4 linked regions of the Alligator mississippiensis genome follow. The protein of the gene in region 4 purifies or fractionates together with the protein of the main gene of each other region. This does not show direct contact. Links are inferred from orthologs where the notes say so. Each region holds a gene or a part of one and is shown on either strand. Other genes may lie near its edges.

What was found.
Region 1: the proteins of CANX (region 4) and MOGS purify together in Homo sapiens (affinity purification with mass spectrometry; 3 studies listed by BioGRID and IntAct, with this or other methods). This does not show direct contact. The link is inferred for Alligator mississippiensis from reciprocal best matches to the Homo sapiens genes CANX and MOGS.
Region 2: the proteins of CANX (region 4) and GXYLT1 purify together in Homo sapiens (affinity purification with mass spectrometry; 3 studies listed by BioGRID and IntAct, counting the BioPlex papers as one, with this or other methods). This does not show direct contact. The link is inferred for Alligator mississippiensis from reciprocal best matches to the Homo sapiens genes CANX and GXYLT1.
Region 3: the proteins of CANX (region 4) and TGFBR1 purify together in Homo sapiens (affinity purification with mass spectrometry; 3 studies listed by BioGRID and IntAct, with this or other methods). This does not show direct contact. The link is inferred for Alligator mississippiensis from reciprocal best matches to the Homo sapiens genes CANX and TGFBR1.

What each region holds. Positions count from the first base shown.
Region 1 is NC_081825.1:588,439-595,926, reverse strand, and holds the start of MOGS (mannosyl-oligosaccharide glucosidase), read right to left. Parts: upstream 3,075-7,488; 5' UTR 2,998-3,074; coding exon 2,646-2,997; intron 2,555-2,645; coding exon 2,334-2,554; intron 2,196-2,333; coding exon 2,002-2,195; intron 1,901-2,001; coding exon 166-1,900; 3' UTR 1-165. Other genes in the region: transcription factor LBX2, read right to left, coding at 3,354-3,405, 3,495-3,634, 3,715-3,825, 3,919-4,026, 4,113-4,227, 4,310-4,407, 4,491-4,712, 4,797-4,910 and 2 more. UniProt on the Homo sapiens protein: In the context of N-glycan degradation, cleaves the distal alpha 1,2-linked glucose residue from the Glc(3)Man(9)GlcNAc(2) oligosaccharide precursor in a highly specific manner.
Region 2 is NC_081827.1:57,947,719-57,955,541, forward strand, and holds the start of GXYLT1 (glucoside xylosyltransferase 1), read right to left. Parts: upstream 3,144-7,823; 5' UTR 3,038-3,143; coding exon 2,814-3,037; intron 1-2,813. UniProt on the Homo sapiens protein: Glycosyltransferase which elongates the O-linked glucose attached to EGF-like repeats in the extracellular domain of Notch proteins by catalyzing the addition of xylose.
Region 3 is NC_081828.1:81,069,702-81,077,115, reverse strand, and holds the start of TGFBR1 (TGF-beta receptor type-1), read right to left. Parts: upstream 3,069-7,414; 5' UTR 2,973-3,068; coding exon 2,894-2,972; intron 1-2,893. UniProt on the Homo sapiens protein: Transmembrane serine/threonine kinase forming with the TGF-beta type II serine/threonine kinase receptor, TGFBR2, the non-promiscuous receptor for the TGF-beta cytokines TGFB1, TGFB2 and TGFB3.
Region 4 is NC_081832.1:74,511,004-74,518,707, reverse strand, and holds the start of CANX (calnexin), read right to left. Parts: upstream 3,124-7,704; 5' UTR 3,027-3,123; intron 2,584-3,026; exon of another isoform or gene 2,409-2,583; intron 1-2,408. UniProt on the Homo sapiens protein: Calcium-binding protein that interacts with newly synthesized monoglucosylated glycoproteins in the endoplasmic reticulum. It may act in assisting protein assembly and/or in the retention within the ER of unassembled protein subunits.

The sequences.
Region 1 (7,488 bases), on a different chromosome or scaffold from region 4:
GATCGCTGCATCCGGTTCCCGCCCCCAGAGGCAGCTAGGCTGCATCATCCACAAAAAAACCCTGAGAAGGATGAGCAGGGCCAGGAGCTGCTGGGGGCCAGAAACCCACACCCCGGGCCTGCTCACAGCAGCTCAGCCTGGTGGCACGGGCCGCGCTCCTACCCCCTAGTACTCCTCGGCCATCACAAGCACTACCAGGGCAGACCAGCCAGTGAAGGGGTGGCAACCCTGGCCGCGCCCGGTGCTGTCATTGTACTGCTCCCACAGGTACCCACTGGCCACGTACTGCCGGTACAGGTTGCCCACCAGGTTGGTGCGCAGCTCGTGGTAGATCTGGGCCGCCCGCGCCTGCTGCGGCCCCGGCAGCCCGGCATAGTGGTGCAATGCCCGCAGCGCCAGGTAGTTGATGTTGACCCAGATGGGACCGCGCCAGTACGGTGCGTCGTGCTCCGTGTTGCGCTGCATGTAGAGGGGGCTGGTGGGCGCCAGCGAGCGCAGGCCGAAGGGCGTCCACAACTTGGCCTCGTTGCGCAGGTCGGCCAGCATGGCCCCCAGGCGTGGTGAGTCGGGCTGCAGCAGCTGCAGCAGGAAGGGGAAGAGACTGACGTAGCCCAGCGCCTCCACAAAGCGTGGCCGTGGCGGCTCCCGCACCACCCGCACCAAGCGGGGTGGAGGCAGCTGGTGCCGCGGCTGCCCTGGGGGCACCACCAGGCGCTCGCGCTCCAGCCCCACGGCCCGGCTGTGGTTGCCGTAGTCGGCGAAGGTGCCCAGCTCCGCGGCCCAGTGCTGCTGCTCCAGCAGGGCATTGTCACTTAGTGCCTGCGCCAGGTGCTGGTACTCAGTTGCCGGCTCGCCCAGCCGCTCAGCCACATCAGCCATGACGCTGGAGGCCAGCGTCATCCAGCAGCGCAGGTCCAGGTGCCGCTCGTCGGGCGAGGGGTGTGAGGCGCGCGGGTAGTCATCCAGCCCTGAGGCCAGCGTCTTGGGGTTGAGGAAGAGCTTGGTGTCGGTGTCACGGCCGCGCCAGCGGAAGGTGTAGGGCAGCGGCCCGGCCTGCGTGCGGTTGTACCAGTCGTACCAGGCCTGCAGGCGGGGGAAGAGGCGGCGCAGGTAGGCCGGCTTTGCCTCGCCCTGTGCCAGCAGCTGCTGCAGAGTCAGGAAGAAGGTGGGTGGGTTGGCGACCTCAGGGTGCTGCAGCACGAACTCGGGGGGCACCTTGGCACGTGCCTCATCATCCAGGATCTGCTCGCGCGGGATCCAGCCCTCGGCATTCATGAGGTCCAACCAGTGGGCCAGCACCTCACGGCTCAGCGCTGGGTCCCAGCGTGCCAGCAGCAGCTGGTGGAAGCCCTCATCCCACAGAAAGCCGCGGGGGAAGAAGGAGCGGGAGGGCACGGCCGTGAAGAGCGGCCTCTCGGGGTAGAGCAGTGGCTCCTCGCCCTGCGGCGCCCGCACCAGCGACCGCCCGTGGAAGTAGCCCAGCCCGCCCAGCACATTGCTGAGCGCGGCCCGGGCGAAGGCCTGCTCCGCGGCTGAGAAGCCCTTGTGAGCCAGCCCAAAGGTCTCCTCGAAACGCTGCTCGAAGGCGCTCGCGTGTTTGGCCAGCTCCCGGCTCAGGGTGGTGCCGGCCAGCGGGCTGGGGCGCTCCGCCTCCGTCACGCTGCCCGACTCGAAAAGCACCTCCAGCTGGCAGGGCAGGTGCAGCGTCACCTGGTGCACCAGCAGCTGGGTGCGGGGCGGCTTGGCTGGGTCCCTCGGCGGCCCCCGGTAGGTGTCCAGCCCGAAGTAGCGTTGCCGGGGGCCGCTCGGCGGCGCGTGCACAAACCGGCTGCTCAGGCTGCTCTTCACCACGTCGGCCACGCGGTGCAGCCCTGGGCTCGTGGCCTGCAGGTAGTTATAGCTGCGAGGGAACGGGGCAGCTCAGGGCCGGGCAGTGGAAGCCCACCCCTGCCCTGCCTGCCCCTCCAGGGTGGGCTGAGGCGGGAGCAGCCGCCCAGGTACCTGGCGTGCTGCGAGGCTGTGCCGGCGCCCGAGGGCTTGCGGAAGGTGACGGTGAAGTGGCCCAGCTCCTCCGAGGTGCCGGTCACGGCCGCCAGGCGCGTCTTGTCCTCCACGCGGGGCTGCAGCTCCCCCTGCCCGTCCGTGGCCACGTAGAAGAGGAGGGAGACGAGCGAGGCTGGGGCGCCCGTGTCCTGCTGGGAAAGCGAGGAGGGGCCGTCACCCGGCTGATCCCCACCCACGTGGGCGCCCGGGGGCTCGGAGCGAGGGGCACGGCCCCCCGGCGGAGTGGTCGGACACGTGGGTTCCCTCCCCCGCCCCGCCCCGGCGCCCACCGTGGGCCTGGCCGTGACGCGCCAGCTCCAGTCGCCGCCGTGCCGCCCGCCCGGGCGCTTGACGAAGTCGGTGCGCAGGGCGAGGCCGAAGTCGCGGATCTCCTGCACGCCGAAGCGCAGGCCGTCGTGCAGCAGCCAGCCGTAGCCCGGCAGACGGTCGCTCTGCTCGCACGTGTGCCGCAGCGTCACGTCCGACTCCAGCTGGTGCATCCACATCAGACCTGCGGGGCGGGGCGGGGCGGGGCGGGGCGGGGCGGGGGGGGTGAGCCGCGCGCGTGGACGCGGCTCCCGGCCCCGCCCCGCCCCACGCACCTGCCACGGGCGAGCGCGGGCTCCGCGCCTTCATGCCGAGGTAGAGGTGCGGGCGGTAGGAGCCCCAGAAGCGCGGCGCGGCGGCGCTGGCGTTGTGGCTGTCGGGCAGCGCGCGGGGCGCGGCGAGCGGCGTCACCAGGCGGGCGGCCCGGCTCCAGCGCCCGTAGGCGGCCCCGGCCCACGCGGCGCAGCCCAGCGCCAGCGCGCCCAGCGCCGCCAGCGCCAGCACCCGGCCCGGCCCCGAGCCCGAGCCCGAGCCCCGCGCCCGCTCCGCCGCGCCCCGGCCCCGCTCCCGCTCCCGCCCCGCCGGCCGCGGCCCCTCGGGCCCCCGGCGCCTGCGCTCCCGCGGCATGGCCCGAGCGGCCCCGCTCCGCTCCGCGCACCCCGCCGCCGCGTCGCGCCCTTTCCGCGTCACCGCCCCCAGCAGCCCCCGCGCCAGCCAGCTAGCCACGTGGCGCCCCCGCCGCGGGGCGCGCTGGGACGTGTAGTCCTGCACGCCTGCCTCCCCCCAAATAACAAGCGGCACCGGGCTCCTGCGGGGACACGTTTATTAGCAGTGCCCCCCCGCCCGAGGTCAAGGTCAAGGTCAAGGTGGTCGGGGGAGGGGCCCGGCCCCCCCAGCGAGGCCAGGGGTCGAGAGGCGGCAGTCCCTGGCGCATGGAGCGAGGGAAGGCGGCGAGGAGACGTGTGCGGGGGGGCGAGTCCCGGCTACTCCTTGATCCGTCCCCCGTCGCCCTCGCTCACGAACCGCTTGCGGCCCCTGGGGGAGCAGAGAGGGGCAGAGTCAGGGCCCGAAGCCGCAGCCCCCCCCGCCCAGCGCGCCCCCCTCCCCGCAGACCCGCTGCGTACCGGGCCGGGCAGGCGTCGCGCAGCTGCTTGGTGATGACGCCCTCCTCGAAGCAGAGATCCACCAGCTTCTCCAGGAGGCCGTGGGCCAGCGGCACGTCCAGGCTGATGTCGCCCAGCTCCTCGTACACCCGCTGGAAGCCCTGGAGGGGCAGGACCCCGGTCAGGGCTGCAGCCGGCACCGGGGACTGAGCCTGCCCCGCGCCCCCGCCGCCCCGCTCACCCGGTTCATCTGGTCCAGCGTCACCAGCCCCGTCTCCCACAGCACCTTGAGCAACCGAACCATCATGGCCACGGGCGTCTCCCCGGTGGACTCCAGCACCAGCACCACGGCCTGCGGGGACAGGATGAGACAGGGGGAAGGGGTCAACACCGCCGGGCAACCCACGAGCCTGGGGTCTGAGCGCGGACGCTCTTCTGCCCCTACCTCGTAGACGAGCTCGTGGTGGAAGTGGGGCACCTCGAGCTGGCGCAGGCAGCGCTCGGCCTCCGACACCTCCCCGGACAGCAGGTACTCGCGCAGCAGCAGGCTCATCTGGGGGGACGGACGAGGCGCTGAGGGACGGACGGGCAGACCAGCCCCCTCGGTCCGCCACCGCCCACCCCGGGCACCCGCCTGACCTCCTTGATGAGGTGCTTGACGGGGCGCTGGCCCCCGCCCACGCCCCACACGTTGTCCAGGTGGTTCACGTCCCGCTTGATGCGCAGCAGCACGGCCGCGCGGTCCAGGGCCGCCCTGCGGGGGGGGCACGGGTGAGCAGGGGGGCGGGCAGAGGGAGCGGGACTGGGGACGTGGGGACACACCCGTGCACACGTACCGGGCGTGCTCGCAGTCCACGCGGCCCTTGTAGTGCTCCAGGAAGTCGAGGGGCAGCGCATGGTCGGCCACGGCCCGTGCGATGAACTGGCCCAGCATCTGTGTGGACACGGGTGGGATGGGGGAGCCTGGCCCCTGCCCGGCACCCCAGTGCCTGTCCCCAGCCCGGGCTCCCCGCTCACCTGCGGGGCTTCGGGGGTGTCGAGGATGAGGTCGGGCAGGTCGCGCAGCATGCGGTCGAAGGCGGCGGCGAGGTCGTCGGGGGTCAGCACGCGGCCCACCAGATCAGCCAGCAGACGTGATGTCAGTTCCCGGTGGCTGGCCTTGCCCTCCAGCGCCAGCACCACGGCCAGCGCGGGCACCGCGCCCCGCCGCTCGCCCAGGTTCAGCCCCTGCAGCAGTGCCTGCGCGCACGGCCCCGCCGTCAGCACGGGCACGGCCCTGCCAGGGGAGCCCCCCCCCCCCCACGGGGGTCCCCGGGGACTCACCATGACCTCGCTGGTGTCCCCGTGCTCAAAGTACTCCAGCACCATGGGCTGCACGTTCTTCTCCAGCTCCGCCTCCTCCAGCTCCGGTGTCACCGTGGCGTAGACGGTGTCCCCCTGCGGCACGGGGGCAGGGAGCTCTCAGCCCAGGCACCCCCTGCCCTCCCCAGGAGCTGCTTGCCCCAGCTGGCTGCACCTGACAGCCGGGGGTGGGGGGGGCAGCAGGGAAGGACCGGGGTGCGGGGAGCTACCTGGGCCGACTCGTCATAGTTGGGGTCCCGGGCATCAGGCTCCTGGTAGCTGTACACCACGCCAGGCGCGCCCCACACGCCCTTGCCCCCAGCACCACCTGCCGGAGGGCACAGGGGTCACTGCCGGTCCTGCCAGCCCCCCCCCCATGGCAGAGACCCCTGGCCCGGGACGGAAGAGCCTCAGGCCCCCGCAGCTGCTGGGGACAGGGGACACCAGAGGGCTCGAAGCCAAGGCAGGGACGTGCTGGGACGGCCGCGAGCCCAGCAAGGACCCCCCAGGTCAGCACAATGTGGGGGGGGCTGCTGCGGGGCGGGAGTGTGGGGCACCAGCAGCACAAGTGGGGAGGGGGCGGCGGGGCGGGAGTGCGGGGCCCAGCGGGGGGGTCACGGGCCCTGACCTTTCTTGGGCAGGCCGCGACCTTTGCCCATGCGCGACCGGCGGTCGTGGCCGCGGCCCTTGGGGCTGCCGGGGGGCTCGGGGCCGGGCTCGCCGCCCTCCGACAGGGACTCGCGGGCGGAGTCGCGGGACGACGTGCGCCGCAGCCGCCGCTTGGCCTGGGCTCGCAGCCGCGCCTCGTCCTGCGCCGCCCGCGCCGCCGCGCCCGCCAGCGCCACCTCCAGCGCCTCGTCCTCCCACTCCCCCGGCGCCGTCCCAGCCTGCGGGCGACAGTGGTCAGCAAGGGGTCCCCCAGTGCCCCAGCGCCCCCCTCCTGCCCCGGTCCCCCTGCGCCCCAGTGCCCCCAACTTCCTGCCCCAGCCCCCCTTGTCCCCCACTTCCTGCCCCAGCCCCCCCTGCCCTTCTCGCCGGCCCCGGTCCAGACGCGGGGGGGAGGGGGTGGTACTCGCCGGGGCCGGGGCCGGGGTCGGGGTCGCGGGGGGGGCGGGGAGCGCCGAGGCCGCCATGGCCGCACTGCTGGGCCGAGTTAGGGGGGCGGGGCGGGGCGGCGCGCGGCATGCCGGGAACTGCAGTCCTGGGGCTGCACGTGGGCGGCCCCGGGGCATGCCGGGACGTGTAGTTCTACCCCCCCCCGCCCCGGAGGCGCAGGCGGGCCCCGCACGCGGTGGGTGGCTGGAGCGGGTGCCCGGGAGTCGCGGGCGAGCACGGGCAGGAGCGGGCGGCGATGGCCGGGGCGAGGCAGCAGGGACGCCGCCTTGGCGACCAGGTGCTCGGCGCTGCGGATGCGGGCACGATGCACTGGATTGCAGCCGGGGTTTGATCCGGCTTCCCGCAGCGCAGCACAACGCAGCCGAGCCGGGCGGGCAGAGCCGGCTGCAGCGCCGGGCGCAGAGCGACGTCTGGGTGGCAGCTGGCACCTAGCGGAGCCCCCGGGGCCGCCTTGCTTCACCGCCTTCATCGGCGGCCGGGCAGGTGACCGAGCCCGGCGGGGGAGCGCGGTGCGCTGGACCCCGACACGCCGGAGGACTGGGCTGGCGGGAGCCTCCTGAGGGGGGGGCCAACAAGGACACGTGCAAAGTGCTGCACCGAGGAGGAGCGATCCCCTGCCCCGGGGCAGGCGGGGGCACGGGCTGGGCAGAGCTCTGCAGGAAAGGGCCTGGGGGCGATGGGGGACAAGAAGCTGGACAGGAGCCGGCAGTGTGCCCTTGCGCCAAGAGGGCGACCGGCGTCCCGGGCTGCATCGGCAGGAGCATTGCCGGCAGATGGAGGGCAGTGATCCTTCCCCTATTCAACAGGGGGGAGGCCACATCTGGAGTCCGGTGTCCAGCTGTGCGCCCCACTGCAGAAAGGATGTGGACACGTTGGAGAGAGTGCAGCGGAGAGCAAGGAAAGTGGTTGGGGGCGGGGGGAGAGGCCAAGGGAGCAGGGCTGCTTGAGTCTGCAGAAGAGAAGACGGAGGGGGATTGAACAGCAGCCTCCAACTCCCTGCAGGGGGGCTGCAAAGAGGATGGAGCTGGGCTGGTCTCAGTGGGGGCAGACGGCAGGACAAGGAGCAATGGGCTCAGGCTGCAGCAAGGGAAGTTGAGGCTGGATATGAGGAAAACCTCTCACTAGGAGGGTAGTAAAAGACTGGAACAGGTCACCCAGAGGTGGTGCAGTCTCCATCCTTGGAGGTACGGAAGACCCAGGTAGACAAAGCCCTGGCTGGGATGATGTAGTTGGGGCTGATCCTGCTTGGAGCAGGGGGGTGGCCCCCAGAGGTCCCTTCTGGCTCCACAGCTCTAGGATTGATCCACCCACACCCTCTTTTCTGTCCGTTGATCCTTGTGCTGCAGCCACAAAGCTGCCCGTCTCCATCCTCTGACCCCCACCCTGCACCCAGGCCGATGCCCGTTTGTGCCACTCTCCCCCAGCTCCTGGGTCGCCCATGCTGTTGTGGAGCACAGGCCAGGGCTGCGCGGGCTCATCGGGGCTGAGCAGGGATGCAGAACTACCTCGGCATGGGGGCCAAGGCAGGAGCTCCCCAGGGCGAGGGCAGACCCGGCTG
Region 2 (7,823 bases), on a different chromosome or scaffold from region 4:
GGGCAGGGGCAGATAGTGCCCAGCCAAGGCGGAGAATGCAACCTTGCTGGGAGTGGGATGGAGCCACAGGCGGCTTGTCCAGGGGGCATGGGAAGGAGGTGGGGAGAGGGGTCAGCTCCCTACCACTGGGCACACCCCTGGGGGAGGCATGGGGGGCATGTGCACCCCAGGATTTGTGTGCAGGCCAAGGGCAGGCTGCCCGCTGTGGACTTGGGGCCAGGGGCAGTGCCAGCCTCTTCCCGACAAGGGGGCTAGGCCAGGGCTGGGCAGGCAGCAGCGCTGGGAGGGGTAGCTACAGAGTGGGCTATAGCCACCCCAAAATCCGCTGTAGCCACCCCTCCTAGTGCTACCACCACCTGCCCCAAGCCCAGCCCCATGGCCGGGAAAGGACTGGTACAGCCCCTGGCCCCAAGCCCACAGCAGGCAGCCCACCCTCACCCCACCCACAAATCTGGGGGAGAGGGGTACATGCCCCCCATGGCTATGCCAGGGGTGCGCACAGCGTGCACCCTGGATGAGCCTCCCACAGTTCCATACTGCTCCCAGTGGAGTTGCATTCACTGCCCTGGTTGGGTAGCACTTGCCCCTGCCCCACTCCATCCCTCACTGTGGGGGCCTCAATCTACCCCCCCCACCTCCCCCGATTTACCACCTGGTTGCTCCAAGCTGTCGAGCTACATTCCTGTAAATTAGCTATTGGATCAGTATCAGCTGATATGGCCAGTTAATAATCAGCCATCAGTATTAGCCAAGAAAATCTTTATTGATGCATCCCTAAAAGAAAGTTGTTTCTCCTGGTATAAACGTACACCTGATGATAGCCTGAGAAAGGACAAATGGTTAACTCATTTGCAGACTTTGTGTATATTCTCATCAACCCACAACTGCATGCATCCAGTCTGATAACAGGGGACTAAAATTATGTAAATTTTGTAGCGAGGGTAAGCTGCAAGACTTAGTGGCAAATGATTATGTGGGTCTGATCAGGTGTTAAGGTTGGCCCTACCTTTATCTACCCTGTAGTGCTTCACAGAGTACTTATCCAATCTTATCTTTAAGAGAATGTTTCCATTTCAGTAGAGTGGTTTCACTTAAGTAAACACCCTACTTGATTTTCAAAAAAGAAAAAAAACCTGACTACCCAGGATAAGACTTTTCCCTTTCTTTTTTGCTGAGGTTTTTAAGATTTTAATTATCTGCTTGACCATTTTTTCCCACCAAAGTCCTCTGAAAGCAATTTATAACTAGCCTATTTGAACCTCTTTCTGAAAACTTCTAGAGTACAACTGGAACTCTCTTTCCTCATCAAACCACTGAAGTGAGGAGGAGAGAGGCTAACTTGCACTAGCTTGTAACTAAGTTTGCTATTTCTGAATTGAGAGGCATTAAGGATTTCTTTCATTTTAGTTAAATATACCTTAATTACAACAGGAAACTGTAGCTACTTTATGTTCAGCTGCTGTACACCTGAATAAATATAACTAGAAGCCCAGTTCACCTGTGAATCTGTCTTTTCTGGATGGTCAATTATTGTGGGCAGAGGGCCACTTACTGAGTTTTGGGAAGCCATTGAGGGCCGCATGACAGGCAGCCAGGGGCAAATAAATATTAATTTTCTAATTTTTTTAGGGGCCCTGCAGGCCAGATAGAATGGCCTGGTGAGCCACATCCAGCCCCCGGGGCTGCATTTTGCCCACCCCTGCTCTAACACAATCTCAGGGCTGAAGGCAACAATCCCTTGACATAAAGTCACAGAAAATTTAACTTTTTAGATACCAGTCACCACATTTTTCTAGCCTTCCCGTGACCTGCTCTGCGCTAGCTACAGCCCAGTACCTTTGGTTTTAACCATGACATTTCCTTTATAAAAGAGATTTCCTATACAGAAGAGTTAGCTCACTCCTGAAGAAGATGTTCCACAAATTCAGATTTCAGATCATTTTTTTCAGAAATGTCTAAATTAAGGTCCTGTTTTCAAAAATTACCTAGAGACTTTCAAAACTTGGACTGGTAGTAGTCACCTGCATCTACAAGTAACAAGAGCTGGAGTGGGGCCAGCACATGCCTCACAGCTAGCAAGGTTGGGACAGCCACACGTGCCACAAATGGCACGCGGGGCACACTCTACCTGCAGAGTCCCACTGCACCAGCCCCACGTACTAGCGCTGGCACAGCTGGATCCACACCAGCCCCAGAGCCAGTGCTCAGGACCAGTCTGGCGCAGGGGCTGCATGCAGCACACCCGACTGAATCCCCATACACCAGATGGGCTCCGTGTGCTGCACGGGCTGGATTGCAGGACTCCTCGGGCAGATGCGGCCGCAACCTACCTTTGATGCCTCCGATTCAGGGCTACCCCATTCATCAAAAGAATGAAGCAGCCCCTGCACTGCAGGTCTCAGCAGCTTCTGCTCCCCACTGCCACCACCTCTGGGTTTTTAGACCTGGCAGATCTGGGCCTCTGGCACCTTGTGTCCTAGGCTCCCTTCTCCTGTGCCAAGCCCTCCTGACACCTTTGATCCAACTAAGCTGAGCCGAATACCACGAGGCCTCCCCTCTGCCCTGAGCAGTGTCCCCCACCCCCCTCCACTGCTTCGGTCCCCGAGGCTGAGAGAGAGAGAGAGGGGGGCTCGGCAGGGGCCGGATCAGGCCAGGCCAAGCCAGGCCGCGCAGGGGCACCAGGCTGAGCCGGCGGGGCGGCGGCCCGGCCCGCGGGCACCGAGGCGCTTCGCCCGAGGGCGGGCCCAGGCGCCGGCCCGCGGGTCCCGAAGGCGCGGCAGTCCCCCCAGCCTCAGCCCGGGGCCCGGCAGTACCTGTGAGGCGGCGGCAAGGCGTGGGCGCCACGGCCTGCCCGAGCCACCGCCCGCCCGGGGCCGCCCGCGCCCCGCCTCCGCGCCGCTGCGTCCGGCCCGCGCGGCTTCCCCCGCCCGGCGCCGGGCCCGGGCTCGGCGGGCAGCGCCAGCTGGCTGAAGCCGTAGAGCAGCGAGCACAAGCCGCAGCCCAGGCACAGCAGCGCCACCCGCGCCACGCGCCGCATCCCGGCCGCGCCGCCCGGCGCCGAGAGCCCGGGGGCGGGACAGGACGGGACGGACCGGGACCGGGCGCCCGGGGCAGACTGGGAGAGGGCGGGGTAGCCAAGGCCTGCCCCAGCCCGGCGCGGAGCAGGGTGCGCAGAGCTCCTCCTCTTCCTCGCCTCCTTTCCCCGCTCAGGGGCGGATCCTGCCTCCCCGGCTTGGCCTTTGGGCGGGCTCCGGGTGTCGGTGAGAGCGCGCGGGGGCTGGAGCCTGCCAGGGCCCGGAGCCCGCCGCTGTTGCCGGGTGGACAAGAGCGACCATGTTGTAGGATCCTGTCCCCCCTAGTACAATGGGTGATCGATCGTGGTGAGCGTGCTCAAGTGGACAATAGTAAGGCAGCTCGTTGATGCAGCAGGGCAAAACCTAAGTCAGTCTCAGAGTCTTAACCGACTTGGGGGTTTGCTGTCACCACTTTTTTATGACTGCTTGCCTCAACATAAAGATTTTGTTCGTTTGTTTTTGGAAAAATATGTCCCTACACACACACATATATATATACACATACATACATACACACACCATCTAGCATACATTCTTCACAAACCTTAACTCATTTTCAAAACCTTTTTTTTTGTTAATATATATATACACACACACACACACATGTATACGCATACACTTTCTAATACACTTTTCTTCCCATACCTTAACTCACCCAACAAAACCTATAAACCTATTACAATACATACACTGAAGGACCCACGACCCCATGCAACTGCCCACTGGCTTCCCTACCCCAAACAGTCTCAAAACATCATGGCTGTACCACAAAATCTCACATCCACGCACCTGCTACAGTAATGGCACTACACTCCCATCCATAACCCTTTTCTGGTTATAGTCACACTGTCCCTTTGGTTCTAGCTCTGGTTACAAGCTTTGAGCCCTTCGTTCATCTGACTGTGACAGTTGCTGTTGCTGTTGCTCAACATAAAGAAATATTTCAACTTTGATGACACAGTTCTCTTGAAGAGAAAAATAGAGGACATAAAGGTATCCCGTTTCATATCAACAGAGGATAGAGGACAACCGGACTGTCCTCTATGATGGCCACCCTAGGCCTGGCACAGGGCCCAGGTCACCTGGGTGGAAGAGGGGGAAGAGTGGTCTGTTTATTTTAGCAAGATAAAGGAAAATAAGAAAGGACCAATGACCAGCCTGATAGACAGAGCTGGGGTGGAGCACCAGTAAAATGAGGAGTTGCTGGAGATGGTGGTTTCTGGAATCTACATGGCATGACTGCAGAGCCCTGGGGCAATGCAGAACTGCCTGCAGAAACTCATGCAGGTTCTTGGGGAGGACAAGGGACAGAAGCTGGGGGAGGAGTGGACACTGGAGGAGATCAACATGATGCTCTGCAGCTTCTGGGACAGTAAGACTCCTGGGGCTTGCCCAAGGAGTTCTATATTGCTTTCTGGGACCAGGTGGATCCGAACCTGCTGGAGGTCTATAGGGAGCTCCTGCAGGACGGTCACCTAGGAGCGGAGATGAACGAGGGCCTCATAATCCTTATTTACAAGAAGGGGGAGAGGTGAGACCTTCAAAACTGGGGTCCATTTATGCTCCTGAACCTTGGCTACAAACTAATGGCCAAAGTGTTGGCTGAGTGTTTTAATTCTGTTATAGGTGCAGTGATCCATGAGGACCAGGCTTGCATGGTGCTGGGGTGACAGATCCACAAAGTCCTGATGCAGCTGCAAGGTGTGCTACAGTACCAATGGGAGAGGTGACAGAATATCGGGATGCTGAACCTTGATTTGGAGAAGGCCTACGACCAGGTATCTCATTGCTTCCTACTGAAGATGCTGAGAAGATGGGGGTCCCTGCAACCTTTGTCACCTGAATAAAGGCACTTTACACCAATGTGAGCAGCAGGATACTGGTGAACGGGTCCCTGACAGCTCCGATTGTGGTGTAGTCAGATGTGAGGCAGGGCTGCCCACTCTTCCCAATCCTTTTTATCTGCGCAATGGTATATGGAGTAGCAGCAGGGGCCAAGCTCAACATGAAACAAAGCACCTGCCTAGTCCTGGGCAACCTGGAGGACCTGCCACACCTAGGGGTCTCCGTCCCCCGCGAGGGGGTAAAGATCCTTGGGGTGGAGTTTGACCCAGAGCTGATGGGACAGGGTATGGGAAAAGATAGAGTCCAAAGCCAAACAGAAGCTGGGACTATGGCAATTGTGCTGCCTGCCAGTGCGGGGCAGTGGGGAGTGGTGCTGATGAAAGCGGTGCTTCTGCTTATGCTCCTATACAGCGCTACAATCTTCCCCACCTCAGAGCAAGTCATCTGCAGAATCCAAAGAGCCATTTGTGTTTTCTTTTAGCACTCCACCTGGGAGAAAGTAGCAAGGACCAAGCTATACAAAGTGAAATGGTCTGGAGGCAGAGGAATGGCAGACGTCCTACTTTTCCTCTGGACCAAATACATGAGCTACATTTGCAAACTGGCAACAGGGGCAGAATCCAAAACAGCCCTGTAACAGAGAGCCTGGCCTCTGTTACTTTAAGATAAAGGCAGCCCAGCCAGGCAGGGCACAGCAGCTGCCAGTTGCCAGGGCAACCGGGCAAATGAGGCAGTTAGCAGACACCTGCAAGTGGTCAGCTGACCATATGGAGGCAGAGCCCAGGGAGCATATAAGCTAGGGGTGGACAATTATTGTGGGTGGAGGGCTGTTTACTGAGTTTTGGCAACCCATTGAGGGCTTCATGATAGGCATCCCAGGGCAGATTAATATGAATTTTCTAAATTTTTTAGGGGCTCTGTGGACTGGGTAGAATGGCTTGGTGGGCCATTTCTGGCCTGCGGGCCACATTTTGCCCACCCCTGATATAAGCCCAAGGCTGGGGTTGGCAGGGGAGTCTCTCCTTGGTAGCTGCTGGGGAAGGAGCTCCTACCTAGGAGGGATACCTAGGGATTCTTGACTGCCTGTTTTGCTGCCTACAGCAGTAGTGAGGCCCCAAGAGCTCACAAGATACCCTGGTAGGGAGGCATGCTATACTAAGGGTAAAGGTTTGCTCTCTTAAAGGGGCAGAGGGCTGTTTCTGTTGTTATTATTATGTTATAGCCCACGGGTTCACGTTTATGTTGCTGTTCATACTGGTGGTTTGGACTGGGACTGTAAGGGGTGGTTTTGGAGGTCACATTAGTGCCTGTGCCCGGAGCACTTTCATAGATTCATAGATGTTAGGGTCGGAAGGGACCTCAATAGACCATCAAGTCCGACCCCCTGCATAGGCAGGAAAGAGTGCTGGGTCTAGATGACCCCAGCTAGATGCCTATCTAACCTCCTCTTGAAGACCCCCAGGGTAGGGGAGAGCACCACCTCCCTTGGGAGCCCGTTCCAGATCTTGGCCACTCGAACTGTGAAGAAGTTCTTCCTAATGTCTAGTCTAAATCTGCTCTCTGCTAGCTTGTGGCCATTATTTCTTGTAAACCTTGGTGAATAAAACCTCACCAATTCCCTTCTGTGCCCCCGTGATGAACTTATAGGCAGCCACAAGGTCGCCTCTCAACCTTCTCTTGCGGAGGCTAAAAAGGTCCAGTTTCTCTAGTCTCTCCTCGTAGGGCTTGGTCTGCAGGCCCTTAACCATATGAGTGGCCCTTCTCTGGACCCTCTCCAGGTTATCCACATCTCTCTTGAAGTGCGGTGCCCAGAATTGCACGCAGTACTCCAACTGCGGTCTGACCAGCGCCCGATAGAGGGGAAGTATTACCTCCTTGGATCTATTCGTCATGCATCTGCTGATGCATGATAAAGTGCCATTGGCTTTTCTGATGGCTTCGTCACACTGCCGACTCATGTTCATCTTGGAGTCCACTAGGACTCCAAGATCCCTTTCCGCTTCCATGCCACCAAGCAGGTCATTTCCTAGGCAGTAGATATGCTGGACATTTTTCCTCCCTAGGTGCAGCACTTTGCATTTCTCCTTGTTGAATTGCATTCTGTTGTTTTCTGCCCATTTGTCCAACCTGTCCAAGTCTGCTTGTAGCTGTTCCCTGCTCTCCGGCCTATCCACTTCTCCCCACAGTTTTGTGTCATCCGCAAACTTGGACGCAGTACACTTCACTCCCTCGTCCAAGTCGCTGATGAAGACTTTGAAGAGTATTGGTCCAAGGACCGAGTCCTGCGGGACCCCACTGCCCACACCCTTCCAGGTCAAAACCGACCCATCCACTATGACTCTCTGGGTGTGACCCTCTAGCCAATTCGCCACCCACCGGACTGTGTAGTCGTCCAAGTCACAGCCTCTTAACTTGTTCACCAGTATGGGGTGGGATACCATATCGAAGGCCTTCCTGAAGTCTAAGTATACGACATCCACCCCTACTCCTGCGTCCAGGCGTTTTGTAACCTGGTCATAAAAAGAGACTAGATTAGTCAAGCATAATCTACCTGCTACGAATCCGTGCTGGTTTCCCCTCAGCATAATTTGTCCTGCCAGGCTCTCGCAAATGTGAGCCTTGATAATTTTTTCAAAGACTTTGCCAAGGATGGAGGTGAGACTGACTGGCCTATAGTTGCCTGGGTCCTCCTTCCTCCCCTTCTTGAAAATGAAGTCCTCCGGGACTTGGCCCGTGCACCATGAGCGTTCGAATATTCCCGCCAGTGGCTGCGCAGTGACGTCGGCCAGTGCCTTCAGTACCCTCAGATGGAGCTCATCCAGGCCTGCCAACTTAAAGGAATCCAGTTCCTCCAAGTGACTCTGCACCACCACTTACCGGGGTGGGCTCAAGGACTGAGCTATT
Region 3 (7,414 bases), on a different chromosome or scaffold from region 4:
TACAGGAGAAACCTGAAGATTTTGCTGTGTTGCAAAGAGCTCCCTGCAGGCTGGCAAGTTTTCAGCCTGCAAGGGACTGGGGGGAGCGGGAGGAGGGTGGCCAGGCAGGGTATCCATGTGCATACATATACGTATGGCCATGAGGCAGCCTGGAGAACAGCTCCCACAGGTAAGTGGGGGGGAGGAAGCATTGATGGTCCCAAATGGAAGAAGGGAGGGAGTTAAGCAAGGCAGGGGCTGCTGCCCAGCTAGGCAGCACCTGGGGCTTGGGGCCTGGAGCTGTAATGCACGGCCACAGAGCCCTGGCAGGGAGCGGAATAGGGCCGCGGGCAGCTCACCCAGCAGGCAGCTTCCTGCTGCTGTATGCACTCCCGGGGGGTAGGGGGACCCATGCCCACCAGATCTGTCTGGGGGGGGGGGGTGGTCCCTGCTCCTCACTGCAGTGTGCCGTCCTGGAGAGCAGGAGGGACCTGTGCCCCCTAGAACTATGTGGAGGGTGGGGGCTGCATGCTGCCTGCTGCGGGTTTCCGCACCTATGACCTCTCCTGGGGCTTCTGCAACCTGGTGCTGCAAAGAACAGCAAGCCTGCACAGGAAAGCTGCTTGTGGTTACGAGCTCTGCACTGCCCTGGCAACGCGGTCCCCTGTACACGTGGATGCAGCGGGGGTGGCGGCGTGGGGTTGCGCACAGAGGATGCATTGCCAGGGCAGTACAGCACTCGCAGTGGCAAGCAGCTTTCCTGAGTGGCCTTGCTGTTCTTTGCAGTGCCAGGTCGCATGTGCCAGGCTGCAGATGTCCCAGGGGAGGGGAGCAGGATGGGTGCCCATAGCATGCAGCCCTGGCCCCATGGGTCCCCCCCTGCCTCTCCAGAGTGCACACTGTGGCAGGGATCTGCCCCCCCTGCACAAATCTGAAGCAAGCAGGCAGCAGGTGTGCACCAGGCTCCGCTCCACTGCAACAACTACTACCTGCTGCAAGGGGCAGAGGGCTGTGGACCCGAGTCCCTGGCTCCATAGCTCTGGCAGCTGGGGGCCCGCCTCCAGCAGAGCTGGGGGAGCAGGAGCTGGGGGTGGGGGGCACCAGCAGGGCCAGGGAGGATGGGGATGGGCTTTCTTTTTAATAATGGATGGGGGGGGTGAGGGGGTTATTGGAGAATTTATGATTTTTTTGTCAGGGAAAACCAGGATCCCTGATTATCACAAAGGGCATCCAATGACAGACACTGAATGTTAAGACAAAATTATTATTTTGTTTTACATAAATGTAGGACAACCTGTGCCAGGGCTGTCCAACTTCTAGGTCCCCGGGGGCCAGACCAGGTATATTATGCAGAAGTTCCCGCCCCCTTCAACTACTGAGCCACGTGGGTGCAACCTGCTTCCCACGTCAACATGCACATCCCCCTCCTCTTCCTTCTGCACCACTCAAGTGCAATCCCCAACTCTTCCCTCCCTCCCCTGAACCCTGAGCTGACCCTCAGCTCCCCACACTGCCATACCCCTAGGATGAAGGCAGGAGGCAGCAGCCAGAAGGGGGAGAGAGCAGGGAAGAGCCAGAGCAACCTGGCAAACAGGGAGCCCAAGGGTGGGAGCCTGAGGACTATGTATCTACTCTTCAGAGGCTGCATGTGGCCCTTGGGCTGTCATACAAGCAGACTGGCAATTCAGTTAACAGTTCAGCGTAGCGTAGGATTTTTATAAGGGCTGGTACCAGGTTGAATCTGCTTATGATAAGGTATCAGTCCTAACTTATCATAAGCAGATTCAACCTGGTACCAGCACTTTTCAGAAAAATATCTGTAAAAATGCTTTCAAGGAGCACTATATCTTTTCAAATGTGCAGCACACAAAGATGTTATGGAAGCCAGTCCCACTATAACCCATTCCTCCCAGTCCCACTATACCTCATCACACCCCAGCTCTTACAAAATCTGCCTGGTTCAGCAAAAGAAATGTTAGACATGATTTTCCTAAGCATTACCCCACCAGCGTAAGATTTTCTCCATACCACGCAAGTCAGAAGGATACTGTGCTCCGAAGGTTAAGCTACTCAAAACCTGTAGCAAGCCTGAGACAGTGAGCAGCAACCAGGTATTTCACTCCACTCTTACTTCATTGTTTGTCATCCCCGCCCCCCCCTTTAAAAAAATACCTGCTTCATCTCGTCAAAACAACTTTAGTTATGAGAACAAGACAGCTTCAGACAGGATCTAGTTATGTCATTTATTGCTGCACAAGCTTCAGCGTAAAGTGAGACTCTGGCTCAGTGAGGAAACCGTAAGGTTTACCAGATGAAAACACAGACTGCGAGGGAGGCCTCCGGCTCGCACAAAGCGCTCGAGACACACATACACAAAAAACCAAAAGAAGGAAGTCATGAAGTTTCCCCAGGTTAAAGAGAGAGCAAGAACAAGAGCTAGAGCTACGAAGTTACTTTCTACCCCCAGGGGAACTCCAGGGCAGAGAGACGAGCGGCGCGCGGGGCCCGGAACGAGTGCCCGGGCTCGGCGGGCTGCATTTGGCTCCGCTCCGCGGACAGCCCCGCACTCGGAGCACAACGGCCGCGGCTGCGCGCCCCCACCCCGGCCGGCCCTTGGCCCCTGCCACAGCTCCTGCCTGCCCCGGCCCGGCCCGATCCCGCACGGAGGCGCCGGCGCTGCGGTTGCGGACACTAGCGGAGCCCCACCGGCCCCGCCCCCGCAGGACCCGCCCCCCGGCCCGGCCCGGCCCAGCCCGCACCGGCCCGGCCAACAATGGGACGAGGCCGCGGGCTCTGGCCAGCATAGACCTCCCCCGCGGCCAGCGCCCGGCCCGGCCCCCGCGCCATGTTGGTGAAAGGAGCCGCCGGACCCAAGGCGCCGCCCCCCCGCTCCAGCCCTGGCCGCAGCACTCACCCGCTGCCCCCGGGAGCAGCAGCAGGGCGGCCGCCAGCCACAGGCGGGCCCGGGGCCACCCGGGAGCCGCTCGCGCCATCGTCCCGCAACAGCCCAGCCGGGGCCCACCCCGCGCGACCGGCCGCCGCCTGGAGGCCCCCGCGCGCCCGCCTAACTGAGACACACAGCCTCGCGCCGCCGGGCCCGGCCCCCCCCGGGCAACTGAAGCGGAGGCCGCTCCTGATTGGCGGCCACCGCCCCCGGCCCCGCCCCCAACGGCAGCTGCAGACATTCCGAGCAACAACAAGGGGCGCGAGCCTACAACCGGCCCGGCGCGCGGCCAGCGGGGCGGGGCCCGAACCTGAGTGGCAGGCGAGGCCCCGCCCTCGGGAGGCCGCCAGGGCCCGGCGGGCGGGGGCGGGGCGGGGCGGGGCTCCTGCCTGTCTGGGGGCGCCCGGCGGGGAGAGCACTGGAGTACCGCCTGCGGCCGCGCCGCTATATCACGGCAGCGGGGCCCGTGGGCGGAGGCTCCCCGGGCGGTGACTGAGCCGGGCGGCTGCGGTTCAGCAGAGCAACCTGGAACTGACGCTGGGGACCCCCTGTGGAGAGCTGCTGGGGTTGTCGGCGGCCGCAGGGCTGCTCTGCAGTCAGTGCCGGCGGGACCGCTAGGAGTCGGCCCTTGCCGAGGGGGTGAGGGCCGCTGCGCTGAGCTGGGTCCCCGGGAGGGTTGCGGGGTGGAGACCCTGCCTTGAAGCCGGCGCTTCCTTTCCTTGCTTGTTCCTCCCAGTCCAAAACCCACTCGCCCACACCGACCATTTGCTCTGCAGCTGGCTGAGCTGGGGCAAAACCCACAACCACTCCAGCGGGCTAACTTTGCCCAAGCACTTCTAGATCTCCGATTCCTTCCACCATTCAGCCAGCATATGGTGTCCCCCGACAAAGCATGGCGTAGCACCCAGGAAGTCTAGCAGCACAGTGCCAGCCAGTCTGGGCATTGCAGCTCTACTCCTACATAACCACATGTCCCTCTGTCTGGGGTGAGCTAGGGGGTCTCCTTGAAAACAAGTTGTACATACACTACAAAAGCTATTTCTCAGTTCTGCGTATGTGTGCAGTCATTTTTATAAGAAACCCTACCTTTCGGACAAACGCAAATGGTTATGAATCAGGAACGCTTCTAAACAGTTCACAAGCGTGCAAAATTAATATTTACTCCTTCGTTCTCCTTTCCGTTTTCTCCTAGCAACTGTCACCGCACTACAGAAACACACCCAAGTTGCATTTTTCCTTGCTGAGCAAAATAATGCTGTAATCTTAGTATCATAAGAACAGGGTTATGTATCTTTGTGATCTGACACAAATTGTAACTCTGTTACATACACACAGGAATTGCTCCTGTCACACTAGCAGATTCAACATTACTAGGCAAACATATGTTTAGTCACTCAAACTAATGAGAAAGATTAACAGGGAAGGAAACTAATGAAAAGGAAACATTACTAACAAATGCTGGGGCATAGTTAAGGTTGTTCAAATCTTGTGTTTTTGCTAGGGCTGTCCGGGGGGGGGGGGGGGGGGGGGGGGGGGGGGGGAAATCAGGGTGACTGCCCTGGGTCACATGCTTTGCGGGGCCCAGCAGAGCAGTGACTCCACGCTGCCACTGTCCCCCACACACCCCCTGCCACCACCAAATCCGCTGCCGAATCTGGCATGTCTGGCTGCTTAGGACCCTCCTCCCCCCAACCGAATCTGCCACCAGCTTTCTTGCATCTGGAGGGAGGGCCCTGCACCCTGCTCTGGTCATCTCTGCTTTTTGCTTTAATTACAGTTAGAATTTAATCAGGAGTTTATTTTGTTATGAAGCTTAGGTTCAAAAGCCATTATTCTTCATATTTCAACATTCATCTCTTCTTCATGGGTCTTCTGGAGGTATGTCAAGCCCAAAATAAGACAAGGCAAATAAGTGTTGAAATTATTTTCTATTCTCTCCCTTCCACTAGAGTGCTTGAGGGCTTCCATGACTGAATCCACTCTTCCCCTATGTCCCCTGCAGATGGCTCCTAACCCACTTCCCAGACTGCAGAAGTCTTTGACACTGCTTTTTGGCTGGCAGCCAACAATAAAATTAAACCATAAATTAGCAGAAAATATGATGAGCTTCCAAATGGCAGCATAGGAGTAAATGTTACCTGTAAATTAACTGATAGGTTCAACCAATCATCCCTCCCTGAAACACGGACCAAGGAAAAAGACTGCTAGGGGGAAAGTAGCTACAGCCACCATATCTACAGTCCTGACCCTTAGATACCCAAGACCTCAAATGGATTGCAGACCACACCCTGGGGTCAAAGCAAGCAGCAAGAGGCAGTGCAAAGTTGAAAGGGGTAAAATGGGTAGGAGGAGTAACCACAGAGGTACTATATAACAGACTATTTAAGCTCTAAACTGCCTGTCCTGGTGCTACAATCTCACGTCTGTTGTTTCAAACCTCTGAACTTTTAACTGCTTTAAAAATCATTATCTGTTATTACTGAGGTTAGAGAAGGAACAGATTCTGACACTGGAGATCTTGACCTTCAGTGAGTAGTAATGGATACCTCAACATTACAGCTTGTTCTCACTGGACGGATTTTAGGACCATTGCTATGCAATTCAGGTAGTTCATACTCCATTACTGCAACACACAATAGCCGTATATAGCTGCATTATCTTCCATCTACCTTGATTCAGGACTAAAACATCTTACCTTCTTCCATATTTTTTATTACATCACATTTCCCAGTTATGCCTCTCATTCAACTTCCAGTGCTGAAATTCTAATATTATAAAAGCCTTAGCCTGTCTGTCTGTCTGTCTGTCGTGCTTTATTTGCATTCCGATTGACTGTTTTGGGGGGAGGGGCACTGGGTCCTGCCCAGCCCGGCCCAGCCCCGAAACGGTGGCAGGGAGGGGGGGAAGGGGGCTGGATGTAGGCCTCCATTCAAATAACAGCTTTCCCTGTGTGTGTAGGGAACTATACCTTTAAAGGTTTTTTCCAAGAGCCATTTGAAACCATTTTTTTTGTTTTGTGTTGGCTCTGATCAGTGAGAACTGAGGCACACTTCTGTCAGGCTCTTGGCTCTGAGTGATTACAGAACATCTTATGCTACCAGGACTAAGACAAGCTAAAATACCGCGAATGATATATTGGAGCTGTTAAAAGTCCCAGAGTAGAAGCTCTGAAAATAAATATGAGAGAAGGAAAGAAAGGTGAAAGTATAGTTTGAATGATCTTGCACTGAAGAACTTTGCAAAAGGTTACATGCCTGAGAAGACACTAGATTGTCCCAAATCCCAATGACAAAAATACCATGAATGGCTACTGGAAAACCCAGAATTAACAAATAGAATTTGCCAGTCAAAAGGAATTCACCCAGTTCAGACTGAAACATAGGAAGGACGTACTCAGAGGCTAGGGGCAGAAATTACAAATAAACAAGTATAAGTGATCAGAAAAAGGATCAAATCTGTAACAACAGAAGTTCAGTATGCATTAACCACTTTCAAAATGGCTGAAACCAGTTTAAGATAAACTTGGATGGATGTAGTATGATTTAACTGAATTAAATCATCAGTTTAGTATGACTTAACTCATTTAGGTTAAATTGTTTTATTGAACTTCTGTCCCAAATCCTCTCCAAATTCAAGTTAAATCAGAGTTCCCCAGCTCCCCGGGATGCTTTTCACCTCCCCTACAAACCCCCGCTTGCAGGGAAGGCAAGCTAACCTTGGCCTAAGCTGTCTCTTCCAGCAGAGCAAGGAGGCATGCTTTAGGGCCAGTGGCCCAGGCCCTCTGGCTTCTGGCCTGGGCCACTGCAGGCATGTGGCTGCATTTCCAGAATCAAAAGTGAACATTTGTTCGCTTGCTTATCAGTTCAATCTACACAGATTAGACTAGCCTGTGAAGATTGAATCAATTCAGCCACTGGCCTTTTGACTGTCTGTGATTAGCCAGAGCCAACTAAAACAACTGAGGAAAGTTTATGAACATCTTCCAGAACATATGGAGGCTCTCAGCATGCAAAATAAAGCAGGAAGTGCCCACCCAACTTCACAGTTTACATCCATAAGAATGATACCTTTTCTCTAAGGCTGAGAATTGGTGAGTATTTATTCACCAAGGTGCCCCCGGGGGTTACAAGAAACAATGGCCACAAGCTAGCGGAGAGCAGATTTAGATTGGACATTAGGAGGAACTTCTTCACAGTTCAAGAGGCCAAGGTCTGGAACGGGCTCCCAAGGGAGGTGGTGCTCTCCCCTACCCTGGGGGTTTTCAAGAGGAGGTTAGATGAGTATCTAGCTGGGGTCATCTAGACCCAGCGCTCTTTCCTGCTTATGTAGGGGGTCGGACTCGATGATCTATTGAGGTCCCTTCCGACCCTAACATCTATGAATCTATGAATCTATGAGACTAACAGGCCATCTCTATACCATCACAGTAGCATGTCCTGGCCAAGCCATTCCCAAGCATGCCCCACCTGCCTACAGTCACTGCCATGCCCC
Region 4 (7,704 bases):
CCAGAAGAGAAAACAAAGACAGTTCTCTGTAGAGCCATTTTCTTCCCACCTTATTCTCAGCTCCCTGCCTTGAATCAATGCATTGTTCAAGTCTCTCTTATCTTACATATCAAGCCATAGATTCTTCCGGGCAAGGAACATACTGTAATTATGCAATGCTGTACAATCACTTATAACCTAAAGCAATTAAAGCCATAGAATTTACCATAATCCACTAACTGTTTGGTTGCCATTTGTTGGTAGTGCTTTGTTAAAGCATACTTGCCTATTTAGTAAAGCATTTATTCTAAATAACCAATTCGGAAGAGCAGGAGAGCCTAATCCAAATGAAGGTTTGGACTACAGCCACTGTATTACAAAATGTGTGGGCAGAGGATACTGACCAGTGTTTGAGGGGGAAAGATTATGTCACAGTTCCAATATCAGGCCGTGACTGTGGAAACCTGTGTTCATACAGTTAAGTGGACTATTTGCATGACGTGCACCAAGACAGTCTTCCAAGTTCTTCCATTTGGAAATTAAGATAACATTACCTTTCACTAACGCTTTGCCTAAACCAGGGGTGTCAAATCAAGCAGTTCTGAGGGCCATACAAGAAGCCAGCCAGGCTACAAGCAAGCCACTGGAAGTTTTGGGGGAGATGGTTGGGGATAGAGTGTCCTGCTGCAGGCAGGGCCAAGGGCCCCTATAGACATGGCAATCAGTGGCAGAAGGGCTTTGCCCATTGCCACTGATTCAGCCCTACTGGCTCAGCCGGCCCTGCCACTGCCCCATGCTCAAGCCACTGCATGTCTCGTACCAGAACCAGAGTTGCCCCCATAGCACAATGTAGCAGCACAAGCAGCAGCTCCAGCACGTGACAGCAGTCAGAGCTGCACTGCATACCCTGGGTTGGGGGGCAGAGCCGTCACTGTTGCTGCATGCTATGGGATAGCTATGGCCTGTCTGGCCCAGGACACAAGAGGAGTTGGACACCTCTGGTCTAAACAGACTGTCACAGTATGTTTGTGGACAACTAGAAAGATGGGTCCTACCCTTCAGCCAGGGTTCCTAAAGACTACTCAACACACCCTCAAGCCAACTGATTTTGTACAAAGGACACAAAGTCATACACTTCACTTCAGGGAAAGAAACAAACAAAACAAAACCAACAGTAAAGGCAGCTGTGAGGAACAGCAATGATCCGGAAGTGTTAAAGCATAATCACTATTTACTTACATCCCTTCTGTACTTGAATTATCGTATTATGGACAGACAGTAAATATATCCACCGATACAGCCCCTGCTTCCACCAGTTTTGAACAAAATTTTCCAGTCCTAGAATGGCAACTTCTAATATAGTTAAATCTTTAAGTTTCAATTTCAACCACGAGCCAAGGCACCTTTCCTAGAAGAGGCTATAGCAGACAGGGGGGCTAATCAATACCACGTCATTTAGAGATACTACATTTCCATGAACTTCACAGAAACTTCTTTAGTTATCTACAGCTGTGCCCAGGAAATTCAACCAGCACCCCCACAGGGCCAACTCTTTATGATGTTTGCTATAACAGGCTCAGACAATCAAGAGATTAGTTATAATAATATACAACACCCAAGCAAAAACCTGCTTTTAGTAACAGTCTTCAAACATGTCAGCTTCTAAAAATAAGCTGCATCAATATAGGCACGGCGAAGGAAAATTCTGCGCTGTTTGTCAGCAAAGAGGTCATTCATGCAGAACTGGAAGTCCTTGGAGAACAGACAACACTGCAGGCTTTTTGATGGTTAACACACAGGAACTGCTAAGGCAACACAAAAAAAACTCCTTTCAACCCCCGCAAGATTTTTTTTTTTTTTTTTTTTTTTTTTACAAGGTGAAGAGATTATTTAGAAAGCTTGACATCTCATCTAGAAACAAAGTCTAATTTGTCCTGTACTCCAAAGCAATAAAAACCTTTACAAAGAACAGGGTTGGTTTAAGCATCAAGCTTAAATAGGTAAAAACAGGCATTTAACAGGAGGAAGAAGTGAGGTATGAAAAATAAATAAATAAATAAATAAATAAATAAAAGTTAAGTTGCCCATCCTGCCAAGATGGCTGTGTTTCACTCAACCCTTAAGGAGCCAAATCATTTTTAAATAGAAGTGAGACCTGTCTAATGAAAGGGCTTCCAAAAAAAGATGATTTTTCTACTTCTGCTATTAAAATTTGACCACTTCCTTTTACCAGTTTGCATTGGTTTTCCCCTATCCAGGATGAATAGAGACTCATCAGTCTCACTGGCTATATTCCAGACCCTCCAGCAGTGAACGGGATTTGGATACCAACGTTTCCACGAGAAGCTCTGCAGAAAACGACTGAGGGATGGTTTTGTTTTAAAAGAACCTTAAAAAAAAAAAATAACACAGAAGAGGGATTTACGCACAAGACACGTGTCTTGAATTCATAACCCGTCAGGCCAGGAAGATCACTGGGTGCAGCCCCCTGCACCGAGCAGGCGAGACAGCTGGGCCCCAAACTGTGATGATAATAACTGCTCTGGCTAAACCTGAGTGGCCTCGTGGCTGGACTCCAGCAGCTCAGCGCAGCCTCGGGCAGACACACGATTTTGCAAGTCAGGTTTATTACATCGGGCTGAATAATAATAATAGAAATAATAATGATGATAATACAAAAAATATTTTAAATTTCCTCAGCTCTACAGCAGACGTAAGAAGCAGCCTCCCCCCGACGCGAGCACCATCATCCAAGCGGGAAAAAAGCCCGTTTGGCGCGAGCTCATCGCACCCCTGCTCGAGAAAGGTGGGGAATAAACCGGCACAATCGGGGAAAGTCTTTTTCTTTCTCCTCCAGGCGGGGACGGAGCGCGCGCACGTGCCAGGCAGCGCCCAGGAGGGCACCGGCCGCCCAGAGCGGCCCGAGTAGGCCGAGCCCCTGAAGGGACCGGTGCTGGACCCTTCCCGCCCGCCCCGTGGGGGTCCCAGCCCCGCAGGCTGCGCCCGGCGGCCCCGGGGGGAGGTGAAGGAGGGGGACACGCACTCACCTCACGGCTCGCGCCCCCCAAGCAGCAGCGACCGCCGCCACCGCCCCCGTCACGTGCCGCGCTCCGGGCCGCCGCCCGCCTATCTAGCGCGAACTGGCTCCGCCCCCCGCTCTGCGCTTCCGCTCCCCCATTGGCCGACCCGGCCGCCGGCTTCCCGCCCCGGGGCTTTCCTCCGGGCACTATTGGCTCGCGATGCCGTCGCTCGTCGCTTCTCCCGCCTCCCCCGCCTCCCGCCCAGCGGTGCCCTTCGTGGAGCGCCTGGATTGGCGCTCCGCCGGGAGGAAGTGGGCCGCGATTGGCTCGGCGTCGGGCAGGGGGGTGGGGCCGGAGAGGAGGAGAAGAACGGAGTGCTGCTGCAGGGTTTGGCGGGCTCTTAAAGGGGCAGCGTCTCGGAAAGGCGTCTCGCGAGCTTCCTCGTGGCGGCACGGCTGGCTCGATAGGGGAGGCTGGAGAAAAAGCCGCCCCACGCGTCTGCCATGAGAGGGCCACCTCCTGTCCGGAGAAAGCGGGTCCTAATGCCAAATAGGAAAATTGGGCATCCTGTGCAAGGCAGTGTAAATATCAAGTTGTCCACACCACAAAAACCTCATGAGATTAAAAATTATAAATATGCAAATAAGGATTGTTTGGAGATTCAAATGACAGAGATTGGACTGGGTAAATTATGAGCGGGGAGCAGGGGCCCTGGTAAATAAAGTTAATTTTAGGGCAAGAATGTATAAATACGCAAGGACCAAAACAGTACGGCAGGTCTATGACATAGACCAAACATAATCTAGGTATGCTTTATTTCTTATTAGATAATAAAGTGATGAAAGTTAATTTGTATAGATTATTTGTCTGTCTAGTTAACAGTCAATCTATCTACATGCACACAAATATGTGTGTGTGTGCGTGTGTACACACATCTGTATATATATGCATATATATGTAATATGGAGATATATATATGCATGTGTGTATACATATCTATATACGTATATATGTATACACACATATGTGTACATATCCATATATATACACATATATGTGTGTGTATACACACATACATCCATACAGCCACTAAGCCAGTGTCCATCTCCAGATTGTTTGAACATTAATGAGTGTTATATTTACATATATAAACATTTTATTTATAATACAGGTAAGGTATAAGAATTGTTTTATATTATTTATTTTGTAAATATATAATACCTCTAATCTTGTGCAATTCAAGTCTGTTACTCGACTGTTGGAGTTTTGCTTCTATATTTGCTTGCATAAAAAAAAAAGTTAAAAACAAATAATAAATATTATGCTCTGTTTATTTATTTACCTTCTGATTTTTGAGCTTCTTGATCATGTTTAGGATGTTTCAAGCTCTTCTCTGCACTATATCGGCTAGATTGTTACAGGAAAAATTAAATTCCAAACTAATCACTTGAGATTTTAGGAAACCCACGAGTGTTAGCAATACTGGCCTGTGTATGTTGCACTTGCTGCACGCCATTTAGCCATTTAGGATTTCACTGCCCCAGCAGCGAGAGAGAATTCCCACCCTCCTGCCCTACAAACATAAAGTCTGAGGAAAATGTTCGTTAGCCGTCTGTGCGGTCTGACACGCATCTGAACAGTTCTGATTCTCTCCAGTAGAGGATAGCGATGAACATTCACATCAGCCAAATAATGATGACAATCTCTGGTGTAAAGCAACCCCTTTCACTTATCGATTAGATCAGTTTTGTTATATACCCCGTAATAGAAAAAGCTGTAAGCAGTGTGTTGTTTTCTGTCATTCATAACATTCTTTGATGCCTTGCAGATGTAAAATGCTTTATGTATGCCAGGTATATTGCAAACTTATTCTCATAACAGCCCTGTAAAGTAGGGAAGCAATGTCCCCGTTGTACAGATTGGGAAACTGAGGCACAGAGAGAGTAAACGTTTTGTAAAAGATGATACAAGTTATTAGTAGCATTGCTATAATGTAAAACAAGGACAGCATGAGCCAGAGATTAATAGGAATCTCAGATGGGAAAACCAAGCTCCTATCATTTATTCCTCTGAGCAGACACCGCCTTTGGTCTGTGCTGCTATGGCTATACCGCTGGCTAGCAGACCCAGCTCTAGATAAGTGACCGTGGAGATACCTGGTTCATTGGTCACCTCTCTTGGTTACAGTACAGTAACGTAGTTAGTAGCTCATCCCAACAGAGAGTGAGTGTCCTATCAACTGGATCTGACCTTGTAGCCTGTGGGGTAACAGGATTCTTTTTTAAACATGAATCTGCTTTGAGTGAGCACTATGAGTCAGCAAAATGCATCTCACCAGGGAGAAAATTCCACCACCCTAGGACAATGTGAGCCTGGGCCTGGTATTTAGAGTTAAGGCTCAGCATAAATGAGATCAGCAAATCTATCAACATTGAAGTCTGAATTCATGTTTTCCTTTTTTTTTTATTTCTAGAAAGGCACCAAGCTGATTCAAGCCTCGCTGGAGACAGGCCCGAACAGAGGCTAAACACAAGCTGCAGACAAGTGAGAAGAACAAGAGCAGCAAACTAGTCTCAGAAATACGATGCAGAGGGGCTTTTACCAAGGTTAAAAGCATGCAGCTCAATACTTCAATATGACAAGATGCAAACTGATGAAGTCCCTCTTCAGCCCAGGCAAAATCTGTTAGAACAGCGAGGCCGTGGAATAGACTGTCTGGGGAAGCTGCGGAGCCTCCTTCATCGGAGGCTTTCAAGAAGAGATTGGATAAGCATTGGTCAGGGATGTCCTAGGGGTAGCAATGCTTGCAGTGTGCATTGAAGAACGACGGCTGGAAGCCCAGGAGATCCACACGTACATCTCATTTGAGGCTCATGTGAAGAGCTCTGGAATCCAGAGTGGAATGTGAAGAATGAAGCGGAGCTCCACAACCAGCTCATGTATAAATCAGGGTTGAAAAGCTGGGACAAGTTTATAGGAGGGATAGGATGACAGAAAGAGGGGTTCTGGCTCTGTAGTTAGAGCGCGCGATGGATGGGTGTAGTTGTGCTTGTGATTCAATGGAGGGTGCTTGGTTTTCCCACATTTCTGAACTTTGCTAGTTGCCATATGAGGGATGGGAAGGAAGATTTTTCCCTCCAGCAGCTGCAAACGTCTGGGGTCCTGATGGGACTTAAACCCAGAGGTTCCTGACTAAAGGGTCTTGCTCCTCTGCTCAGTACCAGACCAATCACCATATTTAGGATTAGGAAGGAATTTTGCCCCATGGTCTGATCAGCAAGAACTATGGGGGAAGGCAGGGTATAACCTTCCTCTGGAGCAGGAAGCATGCTTCTCTTCTGTGGATCTCTCAAGTATACTTAACAAAGGACTGCACAGTACCCCCATCTCCCTGCTTTACCTGAGGTCAGCTAAAGTGTCCTTGATGTTTCTGGGCACAGTACCTGATACCTGGGCAAGAGGGTTGTACATACAATTTTGTGTGGACTAGTCTGGAAGGGTACTTGTCTGGGGTAGTTTGGATAGGGATAATCCTGTCTTGAGCAGAGGGTTGGACTAGATAACCTCTGGAGGTCCCTTTAAACCCTATGTTTCTATCATTTTATGATTGTATGCAATCCATGAATTTCAGGCCTTTCCCTGAGTTTGTAACTCAGCCAAAAAAACCCAACCTTGCTAAGTAACAAGACAGAAAACCAGTCCCCTGGGCAAAGCAGGCGACTGGAGCCCAGAGACCTACAAACCCCCCTCCCAACACACAACTGCTTTCCCTCTGCCTCTCTCTACTGCTTCTTGCTTGCCCATGATGGACTGTTATTCTTCTTGTCCCCTACAGAGTTATGTGGCAGGAAGACAGCTCTTAGCCTTTCCTTGGCTGTTTCACCCTGTTGAAGGGGAGACGGAGCAGCCAGTGAAACCACAGGAGAAAAATTCCAATTTTTATGCAGCCAGCCAAGCCTTGATTTTGGGGAGGCTGGATCTTAGGTGAGATGGATTCACATAGGACACAAGAACCCTGTGGCAGAAAATTAAAGCCATAAACTAGAATTATAGCTGATTTCATAGCTAAGGAAGCACAGCTTTTAAATCAGCTTAAAGAATGCCAGAGTGAAGAGGTGTGAGAGAAGGCAGCTAATGTGGGAAAACAGGCTACGTCAGGAGGCTGCCTATATTCGCTGATAAAGGTCTGGGGAGAGGGCTGTACTGAGCTGGAATAGGTCAGTGACTCTCAATGCCATTTTTCCCTGGGGTGCCTCCAGATCCTTTCAAGAGTGCTGTGGGATGCCTCACAATGTTACCACTCCTCGGTGTATAAACATCATTCACAAGATAAACCCAACTAGGAATTCATAGGGTTAAAAACAGTCTGCCCCGTTGTGGTCTTTCTGAGTTATTTGCAACAGAAGAATCGCTCTATTATTCTTCCTTAGCCAAAAAGCGAGTGAAAACTAAGAGCTGACATTTTCCAAGGGGTGCCTCAAATCTCATGAGAGGTGTTTCAAGTCTAAAAAAGGTTGAGAAGCACTGGAATAGGTCCCAGTGTTGAAATAAGTTCTAACAGATGTACAGAGGGCTGCATGACAGATACAGCCAGGGGATCACGAACCAGAGCGGTTAGCATCCTCCTCCAGTAACACTTTAAATACATGAAATTCAAAAGTAAGAACAGATCACCCTGCTCAGGACAGTGAGCCAGTCCCTGCGG